Caenorhabditis elegans: one gene and its partners. The protein of the gene in region 4 purifies or fractionates together with the protein of the main gene of each other region. This does not show direct contact. Each region holds a gene or a part of one and is shown on either strand. Other genes may lie near its edges.

Region 1 (5,959 bases), 9.8 Mb from region 4:
TTTTGGGGAAAACCGTAAATTCGAACGTTTTCCAATAGTGTATCCGGTTTGGCTTTTTAATAATATGTGTTCCGTTATTTTTAATGATTAAAAAAATGTAATGATTTTTTAAAGATGCATGAAAACTTTCATTAAGTTGTGAATTTTATTTTTTTTTTAAATTTCAACATACCTAAACTATTAAAAACAACGGAAAACATACCAAAAAATACGAAAAAATGATTGAAAACGTTTGAATTAACGATTTTCCGGCCAAATACCTAACGAGACCCATAGCTTGGGGGCGGGGCGTTCTCCATTGACCGTGGAGCGCGCTAATATGTCGATCAGTTTTTTTCTGCGGTCCTATAATAATATTTATGTGAAACCAAGAGCTGGCGCTTTGAACTTCTACATATTCGATGTTAAAACATGTCAACTTCTTCTAGAAGCACATTTGAGCTCACTGGAGCTCATTTCTTTTCCAAAATTAATTATTTTTGTTCCAGATCATCCCGAAGTAAGCGATCACAGCTTCGAAATGCAATTTACACGATGTTGGCTATTGTCACTTCATATTTGGTTTGTAATGGCGTTCATCTTTTTCTGACGATCCTTGAGAGGTTCGATCCATCTTATCTTTACGAATCCACGGATCGAATGCAGTCGAGCACATTTTATATCGGTTAGTTTTTAAAAACTTCTATTATAATAATAAAATACTTTTCCATTTCAGTTTTGTCTGATACTGTCTCCATCTGCTATATGGCATCCTCGGCAATTCGTATTTTCATCTACGCCAAGTGTAATCCAAAGTTGCGACAGGAGATCACCGACTACATCAAACGAGAGAAGAGCATCGAGACGAACAGCTCGTAACTTCCTTCATTTCATCACTTTTTTGTTACTCTTATTACGGGAGTTCATATTATGACAATAATAATTAAAGAAATAAACAATCATAATAAGAGATTGGGGAGAGAAAAAGATAGGCTAAAAGAATATGGAAGACAATTGATAAATAGATATTCAAAACAACTGGGGAAAAATTTCAGGTTTCACTCGAATGTATAAAGTCTAAAACTCATAGGAAACAGGTGAGTCAATCGGGAGAAAAGAGAAACAAAAAAATGATAATCGAGGGAAAAACACAGAAAAAAAGAACACAATTTTAAATGGTCAGTTTGGAGAGCTCTGAGAGATATTCGTTTTCACGTTGGATCTTCTCCATTTGGTTTGGTTGAAGTTGATCGCCATTCGCCACTCGTTGCTGGAAATTATTTGTTTGAAAATATTTTTGAAACTTCGCACAACTCACCTTGAGAACTTTAATCTCCTCAACCTTCTTTTTGAGTTGGAATGCTTTCCTTTCTTGTTCCGATTGCTGTGGTCGGAATGGTTGTGGAGCATTTCCGTTTCCATTAGCACGTGGCTGTGCAGGCCGTTGATTCTGGTTTCCTGGCGTAGGTGCTGCAGCTGATGGTGGTCCAGCTGATCCTCCACCTCCTAGCGGTTTCCTGAGATGAGGTGGAATGTAGGCACCAGCCTGACGAACTGCTCCTGCTGGAACATTATTCAGTGGATGAGATGCATCCTTCTTTCGAATTGGCAAGCCAGCGGCCATTTTGTCCGTCTTGGTTAGCTCTTTGATGGCAAACTTGTTGTATCCAGTCATTGGACGCCAGCGAACTTCCCACAGCTCTTTTGGAGACTCGAAGTGAGTTTCAGCAAGCATTCGACCCGTGTAATGCCAGAAGCGGTAACTGTTATCTATACGAAGCCTTGGAGCAGTGGTGCATGTAACAAAATGTTGACCATCTGGAGCCCAATCGAAAAGAGTTGTATTTGGCACCTCGATCGAAATAATCTCCTTTTTCGTCTCCACATCCCAAAACTCCATTTTTCCCTTCGCGATATTTCCAAATCCACAAATCAGAACAATATTTCCAAATGCATTATAGAAAACATCGTTTCGTGGACCTTCAATCGTGTCGAAAATTGGAACTCCTCTCGGATTATAGAATGTCACTTTGGCTGGCATATAACCATAGCAAACAGCGAATTCTCGGCCGTTGGGATTCCACTTTGCAGCGTAAATTGGACCTTTCTTCTCCAAAGGAACAACTACAGACTCTCCTGATTGAATGTTGATAAGGTATAGCTGAAATTAATTAAATAATTATTGGGGAGATTTGAGAAAATTTTAAAACGAACACTTTGCTCTCCATAATAAGATTGATTTGTCTTATCCACTTCAACAGAAGCAAGAATGAGAAGTGATTGACCACGCTGATTCCATGTCATTACGGCTTTGTCAGATTTGAAGAACGTACGATTGCCGACGACTGGGAACGATTCGGAGACTCGATGAACTCGCACGCGAGCTGGAGTGGATCCAACGGCAGGGACATAGACAGCCACGTGATTCGGAGCAGGACCTGGACTCAATGCGAAGTTGGTCGCACCCTTCTCGACAAGCTTGTGGTCGTAACGGTCTGAAAAGATAAGTTTTATGATAACGGTCGTAATAATAATATCAATTTTCAGAAAATTCATGAAATTCATACCGAAAGACATGTTTGTATAAAAGAAGACTTCACTGCCAACCATTCTTGCAGCCAACGACTCATCATCCGAAAACTGAGGCTCCCACGATGCTTCTTTTGGAGCTGAGAACGTTGATACGTGCTTTCCATCCGCAAGACTGTAGACTCGCACATTTGGTTCTGGCTTTTGGTTCTCTGCAGTCTAAAGTTGAAAAAAAGGTTTTCAAACTGAATTAAATAAAAAATTATTCAAACCTTTGGTCCGTAAACTGCCCATGGCTCGAATGTGAGCAGGAAATTGTCTTTTGGTGAGAACAAGATCTTCCGAGTTCTTTTCAGCTCCACACAAAGAATCTCCTTGTTTGTTGCGATCTCGAATACCCGTGTTCTAAAAAAAAAACATTATTTAACTATATATTCCTCTCCTGAAACTTCTTCTTACACTTGATTATCGCAATAGGCGAACAGCTGTCCGTTGTTGCTGTAAGCGAACACATTGCAAGCGACGTCTCTCGAGGTTCTAAAAAATACATTTAATTATTGATTCCTGATAATTGTTCTGAATTACGTACTTATTCTGCTCAAAAACTGTCACCGCGTCTTTGCCCAGCCCGCGCTTCAGGTAGAAGCCTTCACTTGATCGAACTGAAACAAATTTCGCAATTTTACGGCCTATTCAAAGCTGTCTAAAGTAAACTCACCGGCGTACACCAGGTTATCACCCATTTTATTGATCTGAATCAATGTTTGAGAAAGTCTGAAAAAAGAAAATGTCTTAAATTTCTCAGGAAGTAGGAGAAAATTAGAAAAGCTCGAGGAAATGACGAAAAAATTCGAATCACGAGATGGCGTCGTATTTGGCGCCGGCATACATTTGGAAATGCAGAATTTCGCGCACCGTATCCAGAATAAATTATTCTAGCGGGAAAAGATTAAATAAAATTGAATATTGGGAGAAACAGTTAAAAAAAAAAGAAATATTCCTCGAAAAATAAAAAATAATTCGATTTTTTAATTCGATGCAGTTTTAGTGCATCGTTTGCGTCACGGTGTTTGCACACAAAGTACAGTAGGCAGAAATAGTTTACAAACTTGCAAAGACTTTGTTTAATCGATTAATTGCATAATATTAAATTGCAGAGTTAAATTTAAATTTAAACTAAAGCTACACAATATATAAATATTTCCGGAATTTCGTCGTATTTCGATCGACAAAAATCTGAGTATTTATGGAAGCCACTGTCTTTTCTCCAAATATTTCGAATTTCATTGCTACGCTGAATGAAAATAAGAAATTGAATAGAGACAACGCGTAGGCGGAATTGAAATTGGTCTCTTGAAAATTTATTTCGAGAAGTTATTTTCAAGGATGAAAAAAACAATATTACCCAGGCACTGAATTTGGCTTTTTTCGCCAAAAAAAACACGGTACCCGGTCTCGAAGCGACAATTTTTTTAATGCAAAAGGGTGTGCGTCTTTAAAGAGTACTGTAATTTCAAAAACAAATTTTGCTGTGGAATTTTCATCGATTTTTTAACATTTATGTGTTTTTGAATTATAAAAAAGTTTTTTTGTAAATAATTAAATGTATTTACAACGAAAAACTATAAAAAATCGAGGAGAATTCTAGAGTAACGAAAGTTTGTAATTATAGTACTCTTTTGAGGTCATAATCGGAAAGTAGACCCCTTTTAATTCAAAAAAACTCGAATATAACATTATCGAGCGTTAGAAAATACGGTCCCCGGTCTTGCCACGCGCTCTCTTGGTAAAATACAAACGGATCTGCGCCTTTAAAGAGTACTGTAATTTAAAATTTTTGTTGCTGCGGATTTTTCATCGATTTTTCATAGTTTCTCGTTAAAAAATTTTCATAGAAATTTATAAAAAACTAATTTCAAACAAATTAATTGTTACAAATCGCAAGAAAAACTACGGAAAATTAATTAAAATTTGGATTTTCGTGGTATTTCGAGACACGATAGATTGTTATATTTGCAACGAAATAGTAGATGTGCCATATTGAGAAGCATCCGATTTACGGTAATTCTGCTTTTTCTGAAAATATATGTGCTTCTTTGTAAGCGTTCCCTCGCCAACGGCAGAATTGAATTCTTACTGCTCACCTACTCATTTTCAGTTTACTCTTTACCAAGTCTTTCTAAAAGTATAAGACCATGATCCTTTTCTAATCTTATACTAAGTCAGTACCGGCTTACCTACTTCTTCCGAAACTTCCGTATTTTTCAAGTCTCAAAACCTCGAAAAACTGTTCAAAAAATTCGTTACTTGCTCATCCCAGGTGTTTAATCTATGATAACAACACGTGGATTATCGTAAGAGTACAGTCTCTCATCTGAGTGTCTCATCATCACGAGGATGTCTTAAAAGTTGATCATTTCCTATTCAGATACATCAGGAAGCGTCCAAGTACATGAAATGAACGAATTATAGTTGGCGGCCAATCCGGAAATATTAGGTTTATATTAATAGATTTTGTGATTGGTACGTTGTGATTTTTGGTTGCATTAATATATGTAATTTAAACCCTCTCGAAAAACCAAATAGCCACATTTTTCTGGGCAAAAATTCCCGCATTTTTTGTAGGTCAAACCGAAATGGGGCAGCCTGACACTATGTGGAAACATTGTTTTGCAAGAATTTTTTGCAAGAATTTCAGATATTCAGACGATTTTCATTTCAATGCAAAGTCCTCTTTGACGCTAGTCATCCTTCATGATCCTTGGAATAATGTTTTTATTCTCTGAAAACTTTTACATGTTTTGAAGCTTTTATGCTCTTATCCTTTCACAAGACCAGACTTTCTGAAGTCTGTTGTCAGATTATATAAGATCAGACTTTGGGGCAAAGTGGGTGTAATAGACCATTGGAACATATTTCTTGCGCTATTTTTGGAAAAGTGAATTACTCAAATATACGTTCAGATCTGATTCATTAATTTAAAACAGCGGAACAAATTTCTAGGGACGAGCAAACAGGATGATCCGAAAGACGATAGATATGACGAGTTATTTTTTCATATATCAATCAGCAATTTTCAAAATTACTATCAGTCCGGTTTATCCGGTTTCAATGTCTAAATATATAATGAATTTTTAATGAGTGATTCCGTGCACATACCGGTTCACTACCTGTCCCATATTAATAATACGGCAATTCTAGAAACTTTAGACGGAATTTGAAGAAAATCAACTTTTCTATCACCCAAATGCCAAATTTCAGTCTTCATTTTTTGGCAGTTTCACAATTTTTATTTACGCCAACTCAAATGTTCTGATCTATTCAATGAAACATTTTGAACTTTGTGCTCAAGTTTAGTTATCATCATTTTGAATAAAAGCGGATATTGCAGAAAAACTGTTACCGGATGTTGTGCACCTCTGCCAATGAGAATCACAAAAAACAATGGCTA
Region 2 (6,606 bases), on a different chromosome or scaffold from region 4:
GCCAAAATTTTTGTCAAAAAATTTGAATTTCCCACTAAATTTTTCTCAGATAATTTGAACTTCCCACCGAAAATTTTCTCAGAAAATTGGAATTTTCCGTCAAAGTTTTGCTGAGAAAATTTGAATTCCCGCAAAATTTTTTATCTGAAATTTCGAACAAATTTTCGTAAACAATTTTTCAAGGCATGGTGCATCAATAAATTCTTAAGTAGTACCATTTTCCAGGCTGTACCGCCGGCTTCTTCTATGGCAAATACAATCAACGATACCAGTATAAAGAGCTGAGCAGCGGGAGCCCCAGCAACTCGACAACCCCATTTCAGAGCCCGATGAAGAGTCAGCGAGTTTGAGATGATGACGTCATCAGATTTGTACAATTTATTAATGTGCCTTTAAACATTTGAATGGGTTTATTTCTATGTGATTCTTATTTCCTCTTTCCTGGTTGTTGATTTTGCTTCTGATTTTGATACTGACTTTTGAAAATAAAAATTTTAAAAAAACTCAAAATATTTATTAAAATACGTTAACTAATTATAGTTCATCATGAACTTTTGGCTCAAGTTCTGGATAAACATTCTCAATAAACCATTTCATATCTTTGCACTTGAGACGATCCTTCACTTGCATTGGCTCTGTCAAATCTCCGAACACCATCTTTGCGCCACGTGGCTTTACAGCGAAGAATTTGGACTAAAAATTGGCGTTTTTTCATTTTCATGACAAAAAACCACAAACCTCATACTCGCCGAGCCACGTTTTGGCAACTCTGACCGCGTTGTACAAAGCGGTATCCATTCCTGGCTTTGAGGTGTACGGGCGGCGCATTCTGAACACGTGGCCGACACGTGAGCAAGGAGCAACTACGACACGTCCGCCGCAGAGCCAAGCCTGGAAAATGGGTGATTTTATTAGCGGCCGACAAGTGACGGGCTCGAGTGGCGAAACTCTGGAAGTGTCGGGCGCGCTGAGTAATTGGCAGTGGCGGAAACCGGTTAAATGTCGGGCGCGCGTATTTTGCCTGCGGCCGACAAATTATGAGTTACGCCATGTGAGCGGGGGTCCCCGGAAGGTGTCGGGCTATGTTTTCTTCTCTTTTTCGGAAAAAAACGTCGGAAAAGGATAAACACTATTTTATACAAAAAATTTTTTCAAGAAATGCGTCTTCCAAATCATTTACCAATTTTTGTATTTAACTCTGACCCTGAAAAAATTGAACAACAAAGAAGTGCAGCCGACGATTTCTGGGTTCCACCGCGGCCCATAAACCGCTAGTTGTCGCACCAGCCGCAGCAGCCGACAAATTAAGAGTTCCGCCACTAAGCTATGTTGAGAGTCGCTAGGTGTCGCGCTTGTCCAACAGCCGACAAATTATGAGTTCCGCCACTAAGCTCTGTTGAGAGCCGCTAGGTGTCGCACACGTCCGACAATTTCTGGTTTCCAAAAAAGCCCGCGATATGTCGGGCGCAACCTCGCCTCCACATAGTTTAAAGGCGCATGACTCACCTTCAACGAGAGCTCAATATTCTCGGATCCCCAAATCTCCATTCCCATATCATATTCTCCCAACTCAACGAAATACTCTTTCCTCATCGCCAGAAGACCTCCTGGCATGGCTGGGGAGCTGAAAAATAACCCGTATTCCCTATTACTAATGCACCATATTCCTACTTGAAAGGCTTCACATTATTCTCGGGCGTCTCAAAGTATTCCCATGGAAGATAGATCCATTTGAACGTGAATCCCCAGTCGAATCCACTCTTGGCAACCATCGATGGAGAATAGTCGAAGGAAACTGGATTGATCAGGTCGACGACTGGCAGGACGATGCTGAAATTTTTTTTTGGTTTTCCAGTAACATTTTGCAAGAAAAAACCTCTTTGGATCCTCTTTAATCGGCTGTAGCAGTGGCTCCAACCATCTCTCGGCCACCTCGCAATGGGAGTCCATGAACACAATAACCTCACCGGTAGCTAATCTTGAAGCATGAACCTTTGCTCGGATAAGACCCTGAAATTTGGATTTTGCAATACACGGAAGGTTCAAATTTTCTGGGAACATTTTTTACCGGATATTCAAATGTTCACCTGTCTATACTCGCTTCTCTTAATGATCAGCTTATCCTCGAGTCCCTTAATCTTCGCGAACTTTTCCAAATGCTTAGTGAGCACGTGATCCTCCTCAGAAGCGTCCTCATAGAGCACAATTTCTTTGAGAAGCGATTTTGGAGTAAATTCGATGATTCCGTTGATCATTCGAAGGATCGTAGAGAGAGCCTCGTTGTGATGAATTACCACCACTGATGTGGAATAACTGGCATCGTACTTTTCTTCTTCGCATCTGAAAAGTTCTCTTTTTTGGGTGATACTTAGGTTCAGGCTTAGGTCAGGCTTAGGCTTAGGATTAGGCTTAGGTTTAGGCTTAGGCATAGGTTTATGCTAAGGCTTAGAACTTGGCTTACGCTTAGGCTAAGGCTTAGGCTTATGCTTGTGTTTATTCTTAGGCTTAGGCTTAGGCTTAGGCGTAGGCTTAGGCTTATGCGTAGGCTTAGTCTTGGGCTTAGTTTTAGGCTTAAGCTTAGGCTTGGGCTTAGGGTTAGGGTTAAGGTTAGGCTTATTCTTAGGCTGAGACTTAGTCTCAGATTTCAAGATGTGTTGTTTTAAGAACTTGTTTTAATCAAATTCTCTGAAAACATAAATCGAAAACGAATATTTAAAATCTATCAGGAAATTTCTGAAATCGTAAAGAATCCCCTCTATTCCAGTAAAACGCGTAGAATTTCTAACAAAAAAAGGAATTTTGAAATTACAAGATTTTTTGGAGTTCTCATCAAAATTTCAATATGAAAATTTATTGACTCACAATTTATGCGCCTGCTTTCCAACATTTCTATTCGGTCCCAGCTTCTCCGAAGATAGAGCATCAAAAGCAAAGCTCTTAATTCCCCATTCGGATTTCTTGGATTCCTGGAAAAATATTTGATGAGTTAGACAAATAACTAATATTTTGAAGTAGACTTACAGCTTCAGTAAGGTTCTCTTTTAAAGTGTGATTGCATTTTCTCTCGGTGAGAGGCTTCAGGTCCAACCAGCCTTCCAAACTGGAAATTTTAAATTTATGAGTGATAACCTATTAATTATAGAAGGTCATAAAAATTTGTCAATTAGTAAAACATTTTTTCCCGCGGAGTTACACGATTTTAAAGTTATCAGTTTGTTTCAAAACTTTAAGCGCGTATAACTTCTTAACTGGATTAGCTACCAAAAAATTCTCAAGTACCAAAATATGGATAAATTTGTGCTTAACATTTTTTTTTAATTAACAACTTTTTGATATCTTCAAAAGCTAATGAAATATAGAGATACATATCTTTAAAGCCAACCAACTTCTCATAAGGGTCCACGTGTTCGCACTTTGGAAGCTTCTCTGCTTCTTCCGCCGCAAATACTATTCCGGCAAAAACAAAAATCGATAGGACGACGTGGCGTCGCATTCTGTAAATTTTATCTTAAAATTTAAGGGTAAAACATGCAATCAATCAGAAGACTTCCGTCTTCTTTTTGAATGAAAAAGTAAAGAAAAATTGGGATGGAAAACAAGAAATCGTTTCGGACAGACTTCTTCTTTTATACACACCTTCTCCGCATTTTCGGAGATGTCTTCTATGTCTCACCTACAAAAACTGGTCCATCTTATATTCCGCCACTTTTTCTCTGCGTCTCTTAGGTTTTGTACTCTGTTGTCGTCTATATAGATGTGGTTATTAACCAATTCATTAGTGGAGAAGGTTCGAGAAGAAAATTTGCCCCATTTATATAATTTAAACAAAAGTTAACTTTCAGCTATTTTCCAGTGGAAAATCTCAAGAAGACTATCCAAATCCAACAAAAAATTATAATATTTTTTGAGTTTGCGCGTCAAATATGATGCATTGAGTGTAGTTGGAGTTTATGAGATTTTTTATAAAATAGAAATATCATAATTTGTGCTCTAAAATCACCCAAACTGCTAATTTGCAGAATTTTCGGGCGAAATACAGAAGAAAAGCCAAGTGGCACCTGGAAATTTAAAATGTTGCGCGTCAAATCTGATGCACTGTGGTCGGTGTTTGCAGAGAACAAATCAATTTCTACGCGCAAACTTGTTCTTTGAGGTTTTGGGCCATTTTATTCGAAAAAAAAAATTCACCATTTTTGTGTTTTTTGTAATCGATATATAAATTAAAAACTTTGAAACTCTAAGAATTTACGCGTCAAATCTGATGTAATCGTTTTCGGTGCGGCTCGCCGACCCCCCTGCATCAGATTTTACGCGCAACTGATTTTAGGGCAGGCTTCTTACATACTATAATAGCTAAAAAATCTAATTCTTCCAATTTTTTTGTCACGTAGCATCATGGGCTCCTGGCTTTCCTCATTGCATTTTTCGCGCTCCATTGACAATCGCCTGCCGGAGACAACGCGTGGGAAAGTCGTGTACTCCACACGGACTAAAATCGAGCCGCGACGCGACACGCAACGCGCCGTAAATCAACCCCGGCCGAGTCAAAATGGCCTAATTCTGGCAAACTCTTACATTTCAAAATGATTTTTGAAATTTTTTCTTAATAAAAAAACAAAATAAAAAGCCAATTTCCTATAAATTGAGGCCAAGGCCTCAAACGGTGTTCCCGATACTAACCTTGTACCCCTTTTTTGGAGTGTTCAGGAGATGTTTATCTTTTCTCTGTTCTGTTGGAAAATATATTGGTTGTCATTTATTTAATCAAAAACCCATTAAATAACAAAACTAGAGCGGTAGAAATTTTTTTTAAAAATTCAAAAAAATTGCCAAAAAAAATTGTGTCAAGAATCCAATGGTTCCAGTTTGATATCTTCTTCGTTGTCGGGCTCCTGAAAAAAAATCAATTTTTTTTCTAGAATCTGAAATTTTCAGGTTTTCACTAACATTCATCTCAAGCCTTGGCATTTTCGCCAGCCTCGGCGGTGGATCATCATCATCCTCGAGTTTCGGAGATTTCCGGCTTTTTTCCTCGCGATTTCGGTAGTAGAAGATCCATCGACCGAGTGTTTCGTATGGAACGTCAAGCTCTAGTGCTAGCTGAAAACTAAGATTTGAAGAAATTTTTTGAGGGAAAAATTTCGAAAAATCGATAAAATATAGATTTTTTAAATTCAAAAATTCTGAAAAAAAAATTGGCGGGAAATTAAAATTTTCAGAGAACAATTTTTGGCGGTAAAACCGAATTTTTCGAAATACAAATTTTGGCGGGAAATTTAAATTTTTTTCATAACATTTTTGGCGGGAAATTCAAAAATTCTGAGAAGAATTTTTTTTGGCGGGGAATTCAAATTTCCTGATAAAAACAAATTTTGCCGGGAAATTCGAATTTTTTGAGGAAACTTTTTTTTGGCGGGAAATTCAAATTTTTTTTTGAAAAAAAAATTTGGCGGGAAATTTAAATTTTCAGAGAAAAATTTTTTTAGCGGGAAATTCAAATTTTCTGAGAAAAATAATTTTGGCGGGGATTTAAAATTTTCTGATAAACAACTTTTGGCGGGCGGGGAATTCAACTTTTTTTTAAAGAAAAAATACGATTTTGCCGGAAAGTTCAAATTTTTTGAGAAAAAAAAATTATTTTGCCGGAAAATTCAAATTTTTTGAGATGAAAACATTTTGGCGGGAAATTCAAATTTTTAGAGAAAAAAAAATATTATTTTGCCGGGAAATTCAAATTTCCAGAGAAAAACAATTTTGGCGGGAAAACTGGGAGTTCGTTTGCGAGAGACCCTCAGTACTGACCAATCGTCGCTTGGCGACCGAGACTACAGTAGTTCCATCAACAATTGTCGTGAACAAATCGATGCTTTCCTGTGTGAGCGCATCAAGCTTATATTCGAATTTCAGCGCTTCTTCCTCGCGTTCCTCGTTCATTTGTTTCAATTTGAACCAATTCATCACTTCTTTCACTGGAGCACGTAGTTCTTTCGCCAAATAACAATATTGCTCATCTGTTGGTTGCGGATTTTGAAGAAATGTCGAATGGAGCCGTTTTTCGTCGTTTACAGAAAATGTTCTCCACGTTTGATCTATTATCTGCAAAATTGTTCCGGTGAAATCTGATGTATTAGATGTGGAATTTGGATGTTTTTTTTCTTCAAAAAATCCTGTAAAATACATATTTTTCATTGATTTTTAAATATTTGAGGCGATTTTACAACTTAAAACTAATATTTTTTTTATTAATATTCAAAACTAATTTGCACGTAAAATATGGTGCATTCATGTGATCCCGAAGAATAGTGCAAACACCGTATTTTACGAGCAAATTTGTTTTAAAATCAGTATTATTATTAAACCGTAAAATAATGCATTTTGGTCAAATCGCCTCAAACAGTTAAAAAAGGTATTTTCAAAAACTCGATAATTTTTGAATTCCCGCGTTTTCCGGCTATATTAAAAGGGATTTTTGCTTCTTTATTTTTTGGAAGACATTTTTGAGAAAATTCGCTGAAAGTATAAACCTGGCCTAAAAATCGATAAAAATCAATCGGAAAAATGTTTTTTTTTTTTGGAAAAAATGCGAAAAAAAATGGTTCAGGTTAT
Region 3 (4,506 bases), 4.0 Mb from region 4:
AAAGCCGACAGAAACTGACAAACAACTTTTAGGCAAGTTAAAACTGAACACAAATTTCAGCTTTAATTCGAAAAAACAATAAACGAGTCGCAGTGGACGGAGTGTTCAATCCAAAATGCCGAGGTTTCAGCGACTGGCGAATGAGAAAGTTTGGAGGACTTTGCGCAAAAGAAAAAGAGGTTTTTGTTTCGAAAAGTGTGTTTCAAGTATCCCGATCGTTTTAGCTATTTATTCTGGAGGACGATCACACCGATCCAGCGTTCATTCTCACAAAGTGGTCTGGAGAACCGCCAACTTCATCAGACAAGTATCAGGAGAAGGGGGACTCTACGTAAGGAACCCAGTGGGATAAAAGCTTCATGTTCTAGTTTTCAGAGAAATTTTCACAATCGCTGAATGTCTATCTCTACATAATCTCCAGGCAATCAAGAATACTGGAAATTTGAAGGATTTTTTGTGAGTTTTTTTTTTGCAGGATTTTCAAACCCAAAACTAAAAAAATTTCAGGTGCGGCGAAGAACCAGACAAACAAGTCGGCGAGGTGCCATTCTTCGGAGTTCTGTGTGGATGTGCTCCAGTATAAAATTATTTAACTAGTGCCAAATGTATAAACAATTTTTGAATTTTTTGAAGATTTTTCAGAGAAATCTGTCCTCGAGGCACAATATAAATTGTTCTTACAATGTATGCCTAGTTTGAAAATGTATATCATGACTCGATTTTTTTTGTGTTATAAAAAATTTTCCCTCTAGAAAAAGTTGAAAAATAGGTAGAAAAATAAAATGCGTCATTTCCGCCCAGCCCCCGAGATACCGTATCATTTTGATGTATTCGGGGAATAATGGTTCCGCAGAAACGGAATCATTGAAGGGATGTACAGCTTTTTTATAGCTTTTGACTAGTACAAAAGCATACTGAAAGCTTCTTCTTGAACTCTTCATAACATGTTAGTTTTATTCTTACTATTCTTGGTTGTTCCGGCGGTTTCTGCAAAGGATCCAAGATGCCCAAAAAACTTTACTTTTGTCAAAAGAACACTAACTTTTAAGAATAATTTTACAAAGGGGTGGTGCTTGGGGGTACGTTATTGATAGAGACAGTACCCAGTTTTAAAATACACTTTCAAGATTTTCAATGGAACGGATGTGGGAAATCGTGACCGAGCCCGCTCAGTCTGTCTCTATCATAACGCTTCGCTGAGCAATCCAGAAAATTCACATGAACTTGAGATTGTTTCTGGTAAGTTGATCATGTTTTTTTTTAAAGACATGTCTTCAATTCAAAATCGCTAGGAAAAATATGCTTCTAAATGTGTAATTAATTTTTAGACGTTATTCGCGCACGGAACATTTCCCTCCCGATTGCACTCGACGGACAACTCTCTCCAAGATGCAAGGCCCTTATTTTCAGAGGCGAACAGAGCCAACAATATTTTGACCAAAGAACAGAGGAAGGAGATTGCAATATTAACAATCATTTGTTTGTATATGATGATATCAATACAGATACTTTATTTATCCGTTCCAAACTAGGTACTTCGGCTGGAACTAATGGAGGATACTCCAGTCAGGAGGACGGAGTAAAGTAAGTGTATGAAAATTTCTAGATTCAACGTCAAACAAGTCTAGAATTCAATTTACAGATTTCGTTTCACCAGAGATTGTAACGCATTAACAGATGCATACTATTACTTTTCTAATGGAACACATTTCTATGCGGTAGATGGACGAACTGAATTGCTCGGATGCTTTGGGGAAAAGGATAAGCAAAATAAACACGAATATAGTAGTGTTCTTTGTGGAAGATTCCCTCTCTGAGTTAATTGATCAGAAAAGACAGTTGTTAATAAATATTTTGGAGTTGTTGTTCGAATTCATCACTTGTGATTATATCAGAAAATACCAATTTTGCAACAAACATCAGTCGAGGATATGCATAATTTTCATAATAAGTATTTTTTGATAGCTAAAGATTGGAGCTAATCATATTTCAAAATTTACAGAGACAGGACTATTTTAAAAGTAAACTACCCTGTAACAAATCAAGAGTTTCGAAGCTTGAAATCAAAAAAAAACTTATTCTTGTAAATCATTTTATATTCTACCTCGGAAGCCGACAAAAGCTTGGTTTTAAAAAATCTAGCTTCAAAGTCTTGTTTTCAACCACAAATGTTTGTGTACATAAATTTTTGGATAGGTATCATAACAAGCAAGAGGGCCTTATGTTAGTCATAGGCTTGCACTCAGTTGCTCAATTTTGACGGCTAATAACTAGGTTGTGTTTTGTTTTACCAAAAATTATAAGCTGACAAAGAATGTGTTACAAATTTCTCTACAGTTTTGGTGTTAAATGTTTTTGATAAAAGGGCTGAAAATGAGGGTACTTTTGTTAGAATCTTTATTAGATCAGATATTTTTTTGTTTCAAAGCGCATGGTTTCAATATTCTTGACAACTTCTATCAACCTACGTGTTATATAAGAATTTCTTTGAATGAAATCATCCAACCTGATGAAGAAATATAATGCGTCGTTTCCGCTATCCAGCCCCGAGATACAGTATCATTTTGATGTATTCGGGGAATAATGGCTCCGCAGAATCGGAAACGCTACAGGGGGCGAACAACTGTTTTATAGCTTTTGACTAGTACAAAAGCATGCTGAAAGCCTTCTATGAAGTTCAGTATAAAATGTTAGTTCTATTCCTACTATTTTTGGCAGTCCCAGAATTTTCTGCGAAGGATCCAAGATGCCCGGGAAACTTTACGTATTTCAAGAGAACACCGACGGCAAAAAATAACTTTACAAAGGGATGGTGCTTGGGGGTAAGTTGTTCATATCAATGACACCTAAATAGTTTTAAAATGATATTTCAAGATTTTCAATGAAACGGATCTGGGAAATCGCGACCGAGCCCGTTCAGTATGTATCTATTACAATGCGTCGTTGAGTATTCCAGAAAATTCACACGAACTCGAAGTGATTTCTAGTAAGTTTTTGAGGATTTTTTTATTGCTGCATGCGGAAAAATGTAAAATTTCCAGAGACTGCTAGCTTGAGAAACATTTCCGTACCAATCGCTCTTGATGGACAACTCTCTCCAAGATGCAAATTCGCAATTTACAAAGGACAAGTAAAGGGTGCAAAACGATTTAATCAAACTTCTGAAGAAGGAATTTGCAATATTAAATATGAATTGTTCATATATGATGATATTAATACGGATACTTCATTCATTCGCACAAAGCTAGGTGTTTCGGCAGGATCAAACGTAAGAAGTGTACAAGCTGATGATGATATCGAGTAAGTTTTGAAAATCGACTTTCCTATTTGCATCCAACATTTCATTTTCAGGTATCGCAGTACAGCAGATTGTACCGTTTTGGAAAAAGGATCGTATCACTATTCTAATGGAACACTAAAAGATGGGCACACTAATTTGATGGATTGTATGGGACAGCTAGCTGGCTCCAAGAGGCTACCAGAAAAAAATGTCACCGCCGTTCTTTGTGGCCGATTGCCGTTCTAAGTAAATGTATTCTATCATTTCTGGAAAGATTAATTTTCAATATTTAATAAATATTATATTTCCGAAATCTTTCTGATATTTCTTATTACCTTAGCTGATTGAAAAGATAAGGTACACCCAATTTGTTTCCGCAAGTGAACTTCAGGTTATTCTTAGGCGACGAAAATCCCTGTGCGGGTTTACAATTAAATCATTTTCGCAACGAAACATTTCCTTTTACAGAGTTTTGACAAGTGTGTATACCATTTTTGTAAACTAAAAGTCAATTAATTCATCTTAACTTTCGTCTCGAACTTTTCGTTTTTAAGTTCCATCTTGTTGATAATACGGCCTAAAAATTGTAAAAAATTTCTCAAAGCTTCCTATTTTCTGTGTCAAGAAAAATCGGAGAGCTCTACATTATCTCTTTTTTGGCTTCCGGAAAACTTTTAGAGTAAATTTATAATGTATAATTTATGATAAACCTCAAGAAAATAGGTACAACAAGCATCTGCTACGTCCAAATCAAAATGTTTAGAAGAATAAATACTACGGTAGAGCATTTTGTGGGTGTTGTTGAACATCACGCTTTTGTTGAAACGATCAAATGCTGTCGGAAAATAATGGCTCCGCATGGCTTAGTCACAATTTTATCGATTTCAATAGGTACAAAACCCCGCCGAAACTTTTCAAAACTGACAGAAAAATGTTCGTTTTCTTTTTGCTATTTTTGACTGCGGTTTTCGCAAAGGATCCACAATGCCCAGAAGGGTTTTCTCATGTCAAGAGAGTCCCAACTGCAAGGAACAATCATACAAAGGACTGGTGTTTGGGCGTAAGTTCCAAGTTTTGGGTTTTGTGTTCATAATGCTTTATGACCATATTTCAGGTTTTCCAATTCAAGAACATGGGAAACCGAGACCGAGCTCGATCATTTTGCAGTTATGTGAACGCTTCATTGACCATTCCAGAAAATGAGCACGAGATTCAAGTGTTTTCTG
Region 4 (6,292 bases):
CTAAAAATTTCGTATTTTTAGAATTCTGAAAATTAATAAATTCAAAACTTCCTGAAATCTCCAATATTTCTGAAAGTACGGCGAACTCGGAAATTCAAAATTAAAAAAATTGAGAATTCCCAAAAACAAGCTCAACAACTCACAAAATTTTCAGAAAAAATATTTTTTAAGAATTCAAAATTCTAAAAAATCTACCTGGACCATATGGAACCGGATTGTTTCCAGTTTCAGGCTTTAAGAATCCAGTGCCCTGTGCAGTCTCCTCGTAATTATTCCACCTCTGGAATTCCTCTAGTGATGGAGCTCCCAGAGGAGCGGCGGAGCCCGTGTGCTCTGAGATTTTGGCTCTGTGATTGGACCGGAAGGAGTCACATCGAGATGGATTAAGCTTGCAGATGAGGTCGGTGAGAGTTCGGGAATTTGCTGGAAATTTTTTTTTTTTCGAAATTGTTTCTAGGTTGTTCTCCAACTTTTAATATTATAATTGCATGTATTCAAAGCAAAATTACAAAATTTTAGTTTTCATTTATTTACAAAAAGATTTGAATTTTTTTTTAAAATACAATTTCCAAAAAAATTTTCCAATTTTTTATCTAATAAAAAAACTCACCGAAATGAACAAAAACCAGCAATAAGAACAAAAGAATATTATAAATCATTTTGCCCACAAAAAATCGATAAGTTTACAACAACAGTCTTTTATATCACCAGCAACCATATGATAACCAAGGTCAAAAAGATTTTTTTTTCTAGTTTCCGAGCGGAAAGTAATGAAGAATTACAGTAAAGCTTGAGTTTTGCATAGTGACGGTGTAAAAATTCAAAATTCAAGTAAAAATTTAAATTTTGATACAAATAAGAAAATTGGTAAATTTTTTTCATTCCTAAAAATTTTTTTTATGTTGAACATTTTTTTGGTGAATTTTCTGAAACAGCAGCTTCTATTTTATATTGTATTTGAATTGATTATTCTAAATTAAAATATAATTAACTATTTTCAGGAAAATAAGAATTTAAACAATTTGTTTTAAAAAAAGTAAATAGAAATCTCGCAAAAAAAATAAAAAAATATAATTAAAATTATTTTCATGTTTTTAATCTGGATAATTATGCGCGTTTTTCACATTAAATTTTTCAAAAAAAAAATTCATTAAAATCAACATGAAAGCATTGAGAAAAATGGACATGTCGTGGGGGCCGAAACAAAAATCAATCAATAAATTATGTTAAAAGGTAATATTAGGAAACTACTAGACACAATTGCATATACCCACAGAGTGTAGATCGGAAATTTTGGAAATTGAAGTGGTTTTTTGGTTTTCGGAAAAATAATTTTCTCCGAGAAAAATTTCAAAATTTTAAACAATTTATTTTCCATTTCTGGAGCGAATATGTTCAGCTTGCGATGAAATTTCATTGATAAAGTTCTTGAATGCATTCGGGTCACGGAGGCACTTTTGGGACTTGTCCTGAAGGTGGTACTTGCATACATCCACCCACAAACGGGCACATCCCAGCTTCTTGTCTTTTCCGTCAGTGAAGGAGAATGTTAGCCAGTATTCATTCTAAAAAATGAAAGGGTTTGGAGGATTTTTTAAAGGAAAAATTAATAAAAATAATTTTTTGGAATTTTTTTTCGAAATTGTTTTTGCTGAAAAGTACTGCAAATTTTCTGTAGACTAATTTACTACAAAGCTCCAAAATTCCTCTAGTTCCTCGAGTTTTTTTTGCAAATTGAAAAACACACGTGGTTTCAGGCTGTTCATAACGGTTTGATCTACAAAAATGCGGGAATTTTTTGCCCAAAAAGTGTGACATCAACACGTTCTTAATCATGTCAAATCAGATTGAAAATTCTGCGTCTCAACTCTCCCGCGCATTTTGTAGATCGACGTATATCAAACCGAAATGGGACTCTCTGACATCACATGAAAACACACCTTGTTGCACATTTGTAAAAAAAACATTAAAATTGAAAAAAATTCAAATTTCCCGCAGATCGCACTGAAAATAATTTTTAAAAACTATTGAAAATATTTTTTCACACAAAAATTCGAATTACCGTCCATCCGCAAGTGTGCTCCAGTCAAAAACTGCGGGAAATCATTTTTCTGATAAATTTTGAGAACAATTTTTCAGGATAATAATTCTTAATTTTTTGAAAAAAATATTATTTACACAAAAAATTTGTTTCAAGAATTTTTTCTTAAAACAGGGTCTAGCAGACTACAAACTATAAACTATAAACTTTCAAAAAAAAAAAACCAACCGATTGAAGTGGTCCAAAGAAGGATTTTGGAAGATCTTCAGAGCTGAAAACTTTAGAGAAAGTCATAGTCCAGTGCCCCTTTGGTGGTGGGCACAACTTGTTCTGTTTCAGGAAATCGTTGGCTTTACGGTCTTTTACGTATTTGTGGGCTCCCGAAACGGCTTCATTACATTTGTCGAGCATGTCACAGTAGCGGCTGTAAATTTGGAGCATTTCAGCATTTTTTACTAAATTAGTACTAACATTTTGTGCAGTGATCCAATAAACAACGTTCCTAAAATTTTCCAAAACTGGAAATTTTTGGACAGTTTTGATGTACAATAGTTACATTATAGTTAAAATGGGCGGGGTGGTGCAAGCCACGCCATTATAGGCTCCGCCCATTTTTAGGGCGTGTCCGGAGAAACCCCGCTTATTTTAAAAGCAATTTCAAATTTTGAAATTTTGAATTTAATTTTCCCACAAGTTTCCCAACTAACCACGAGCCGACTCCATCACAACCATCAATAATATTCCATCCCTGACATGGAATCACCTGCCATCCCTTGGATCCTTGCTTATTGGTCACGGCGTGACGTACTTCCAGGTCCATTTCAACTTTGTCCAGTGGGAGATCTTCGCTTACGTCCATCGTAACATTGAAAAAGATTGGTCCCGGGAAACGTGGATAGTCTGGCCAGATGACAATGTTTGACACGTTTACCACGTAGTTTGTCCACTGAAATTTTCGGGAATTATGGAATATTGTGGGAAGGGGAGAAAATTTGTGAAATTTTTTTTTTTTTGAAAATTTGAAAATTTTTATATTCCAAAAAAAAACTTTACAATTTTTTGTTGTTGAAATTTAAAAACAAATCCCTAAGCTTCACATGATGTCAGAATTTCCCATTTCGATTTGATCTACAAAAAATGCGGGAAATTAGACTCAAACTTCCCAACTGATTTTGCATTTCTAAGGACGTGCTGACGTCACATTTTTCTGGGCAAAATAATCCCGCATTTTTTGTAGATCAAACGCTAATGAAAAAACCGTAAATTTCTAGGTGGAGCGAGTTTGCAACATCTGCGTTTTTTAAATTTCTTTTAAAGTTTATCGTATAAACTGACGTGGTGCCAGGTCGCATTACGGTTTGATCTACAAAAATGCGGAAAATTTTTTTCCAAAAAAATGTGACGTCAGTTGAAAACTCTGCGTCGCTTCTCCCGCGTTTTTTGTAGATCTACGTAGATCAAGCAGGATTGAGACACACTGACACCACGTGTAAACTTTAGATTTACTAAAACTAACACTTTTGAAAAATTGGGATTTTTTTTTCAAAAAAAATTGTCATTGGGGCGCACTTGCAATTTGTGGAATTTTATAAAATTTTTGGTTGCAAATTCGCTCTATTGATAGATTCTTGTTTTTTTCCAAAAAAAATCCAAAATTTGAAACCTCCCTAACTTTCTTCAAATATCTCCGACAAAAAAGTTGTCAACTAACAAAATACTCTAAATTTCCAGTTGAACATTTCTAAGTGCAGTACCTGCTCACTGGCACATCTGGAAAACTGCCATCCTCTGATAACGACTCCATGTGGTCCGGTCTGATATTTCTCCCAGAATGGCTGAACTCCGGGCACTGCCTCGTTCCATGCCTTTGTCAGTGGATTTTGGGCGACTACGGTGCCGACGGCAAGGAGCAGAAGCAGAAGGACCATTACCTGAGAAATTTGATTTTAAATTTTTGTTTTTTTTTTGAAATTTTTTGAATTTAATTTGAAAAAAAAAATTTGTTATTTTTTCCAAATTTCAAAAAAAAATATTACAGCAAAACTGTGCATTTTTTACAATAAATAATATTGATATTCAATGTTAACGCTTAAGAAAAGGGGATACAAATACAGGATGAAGTAGAAAACTTCCATGGCGGGGAGAACAATTGGAGAAGAAGAAAAAGGAGATGAAGAACGGGATTATTATCAGAAAGGGAGACAGAGATGTGGGGATAGAGATACTCACTTCTTATCCAGTATTATTTAGAGAAAATGATATATGAAACAAATCATATCCCACTACATTCATACTGTGGCAGGAAACTGGTGAGGGGTAGAGGGAACGTGTTCTGAGGACTCTTGAACTTTCCTTTTTTTCTTAAAGGTGGAGTAGCGTCTGTGGGTTTTTTTGCACTAAATGACAGAATACAGTCCCAATGTACCAAATAGAACCGTTAAAATTTTTTAAAAAATTTTCTAAATTTTTTATGATTTTTTTTTCGAAAAAGAAACGGCCGAATGAAGTTTGAATTACCGCCCAAAATAGTGACGTTATTTTTGACATTTTTGCGTTTTCTGGCTCAATATACCACTTTTTTTTTCAGATTTGTCTTCTATAGTTAATTTAAAACACTGTTTTTCAACTTACAAATTTTTGAAAACTTGATAACCTGAAAATAAATTGGCCTAAAAAAGGCGAAAATGTAGAAAATGACGTCACTCATTTGCGCGGGGATTCAAAAATAATTCGACCGTTTTTTTTTCAATTTTTGCAAGATTGAAAAATTCTAAAAAGTTTCGAAAACTTTGAAAAAAAAATTTTGCAGTTATTTTAGGTCATTAAGGGTGTCTAAAGTTTTATTTCATAGTTGAAAACTGTTCGATAAAGCGGCCGACACCTAACGGTTTAAATTTCGAGTTGGAGCAAAACTCTGAAAAATGGTCTGCTAGGCTATAAAAGTTTAGCAGACCTAATTACATTTATAAACTATATAAATCAATTCAAAGACGTAGATTGATGACTTGGTGCTAAAAAAACCAAATAACCTATTTGAACACCTAGAACTGATTTCTTTTATACCCACAACCAAACTTTCACTATTCGCTAATGACTCATGTACCTGGACCCCTAAAGCCAAAACATGAAACACACTTGACAACGTCATATCCCTTGGAAAAAGGCCTAAAACCAGAATAATGCAGTTGCTGTTGGCTTAGGAGGGCTGGTCACTGGAAATGGACGGTCTGGGGGGGAATTGAAAGTGATTCAAAGATCATTAACACTAGGACACGCCTCTTTGGGATTTTACGGATCGTAAAGGAAAGTGATATTTTTGAGGGGGGCAGTCAAAAGTTTAAATGTGGAACCACTTGCACTTTATATTTGAATTTAAATAGGGTTTGGGACTGCTAGGCTATAAACTAAATGGTTCAGGCTTAGGTTTAGCATAGGTTTAGGCATAGGTTTAGGTTTAGGTTAGGCTTAGGCATAGGCTTAGGCTTAGGTTTAGGCTTAGGCCTAGGCTTAGGCCTAGGATTAGGCCTAGGCTTAGGCCTAGGATTAGGCCTAGGCTTAGGCCTAGGATTAGGCCTAGGCTTAGGCTTAGGCCTAGGATTAGGCTTAGGTTTAGCATAGGTTTAGGCATAGGTTAGGTTTAGGCTTAGGCTTAGGCTTAGGTTTAGGCTTAGGCCTAGGCTTAGGCCTAGGCTTAGGCTTAGGCCTAGGATTAGGCTTAGGTTTGGTTTTTGGCTTAGCCTTAGGCTTTGGCTTAGGTTTTCTGGCAGATCTCATAAGCTGATATTCGCATAGTAAAAACATGGATCTACCAAACTTTAGAATACGAGTTTTTAGTAAGTTGAAAGATTGAATCTATTAGATAACTTAATTGTCTACGTACACTTCAAACTTAAAAGTTTACGCTGGCAGGCCCAAATTTAGAAAAAATTTAGGCTAAATAGCAACTAAAAATAGGAATAAAAAATCCGGAAGTAAATCGATATACATTGAGTGAAACCTTCCTTTTCTCCGGTTGATGATGTACGGAATACTTGATGGGGGTGGAAGGTAAACTGACATTGAAAATGAATGTAGGTCACGGCCCCCATTCGAAGAGACGCGTACACCCGCTCGCGCGCGCGCAGATCACTCAAGGGCAACTAAGATGATGTGTCTCTGAGACGATCACAATATATACAGGGATAACAATTACATCCATTCATCAATTGAATGTATGTATGGGGAATGGTAGCATGCTGAGGAATATGCAAA

What was found.
Region 1: the proteins of mlt-8 (region 4) and eif-2A fractionate together in Caenorhabditis elegans (co-fractionation; one large-scale study listed by BioGRID). This does not show direct contact.
Region 2: the proteins of mlt-8 (region 4) and gly-8 fractionate together in Caenorhabditis elegans (co-fractionation; one large-scale study listed by BioGRID). This does not show direct contact.
Region 3: the proteins of mlt-8 (region 4) and clec-137 fractionate together in Caenorhabditis elegans (co-fractionation; one large-scale study listed by BioGRID). This does not show direct contact.

The regions. Positions count from the first base shown.
Region 1 is NC_003280.10:10,414,129-10,420,087, reverse strand, and holds eif-2A (Eukaryotic translation initiation factor 2A), read right to left. Parts: upstream 3,283-5,959; 5' UTR 3,252-3,282; coding exon 3,227-3,251; intron 3,171-3,226; coding exon 3,098-3,170; intron 3,046-3,097; coding exon 2,968-3,045; intron 2,914-2,967; coding exon 2,781-2,913; intron 2,728-2,780; coding exon 2,547-2,727; intron 2,475-2,546; coding exon 2,194-2,474; intron 2,141-2,193; coding exon 1,298-2,140; intron 1,250-1,297; coding exon 1,151-1,249; 3' UTR 859-1,150; downstream 1-858. Other genes in the region: frpr-21 (G-protein coupled receptors family 1 profile domain-containing protein), read left to right, coding at 489-664, 716-858. UniProt on the Caenorhabditis elegans protein: Functions in the early steps of protein synthesis of a small number of specific mRNAs. Acts by directing the binding of methionyl-tRNAi to 40S ribosomal subunits.
Region 2 is NC_003281.10:11,622,130-11,628,735, reverse strand, and holds gly-8 (putative N-acetylgalactosaminyltransferase 8), read right to left. Parts: upstream 3,495-6,606; 5' UTR 3,494-3,494; coding exon 3,387-3,493; intron 3,101-3,386; coding exon 3,022-3,100; intron 2,967-3,021; coding exon 2,863-2,966; intron 2,341-2,862; coding exon 2,088-2,340; intron 2,011-2,087; coding exon 1,877-2,010; intron 1,831-1,876; coding exon 1,672-1,830; intron 1,625-1,671; coding exon 1,507-1,624; intron 892-1,506; coding exon 739-891; intron 694-738; coding exon 535-693; 3' UTR 501-534; downstream 1-500. Other genes in the region: Y66A7A.7 (IMV envelope protein), read left to right, coding at 226-350; ceh-91 (Homeobox domain-containing protein), read right to left, coding at 4,845-4,892, 4,948-5,100, 5,803-6,096. UniProt on the Caenorhabditis elegans protein: Potential glycopeptide transferase involved in O-linked oligosaccharide biosynthesis. In contrast to other members of the family, it does not act as a peptide transferase that transfers GalNAc onto serine or threonine residue on peptides that have been tested.
Region 3 is NC_003280.10:4,616,239-4,620,744, reverse strand, and holds clec-137 (C-type LECtin), read left to right. Parts: upstream 1-2,654; coding exon 2,655-2,822; intron 2,823-2,874; coding exon 2,875-2,986; intron 2,987-3,041; coding exon 3,042-3,300; intron 3,301-3,351; coding exon 3,352-3,526; 3' UTR 3,527-3,593; downstream 3,594-4,506. Other genes in the region: clec-139 (C-type lectin domain-containing protein), read left to right, coding at 61-179, 225-331, 376-456, 508-583; clec-138 (C-type LECtin), read left to right, coding at 945-1,079, 1,128-1,239, 1,329-1,584, 1,643-1,817; clec-136 (C-type lectin domain-containing protein), read left to right, coding at 4,212-4,340, 4,395-4,506.
Region 4 is NC_003280.10:568,139-574,430, forward strand, and holds mlt-8 (uncharacterized protein), read right to left. Parts: upstream 3,973-6,292; 5' UTR 3,970-3,972; coding exon 3,796-3,969; intron 2,988-3,795; coding exon 2,749-2,987; intron 2,466-2,748; coding exon 2,270-2,465; intron 1,566-2,269; coding exon 1,368-1,565; 3' UTR 1,142-1,367; downstream 1-1,141. Other genes in the region: W08F4.5 (Nodule-specific Glycine Rich Peptide), read right to left, coding at 196-423, 611-659.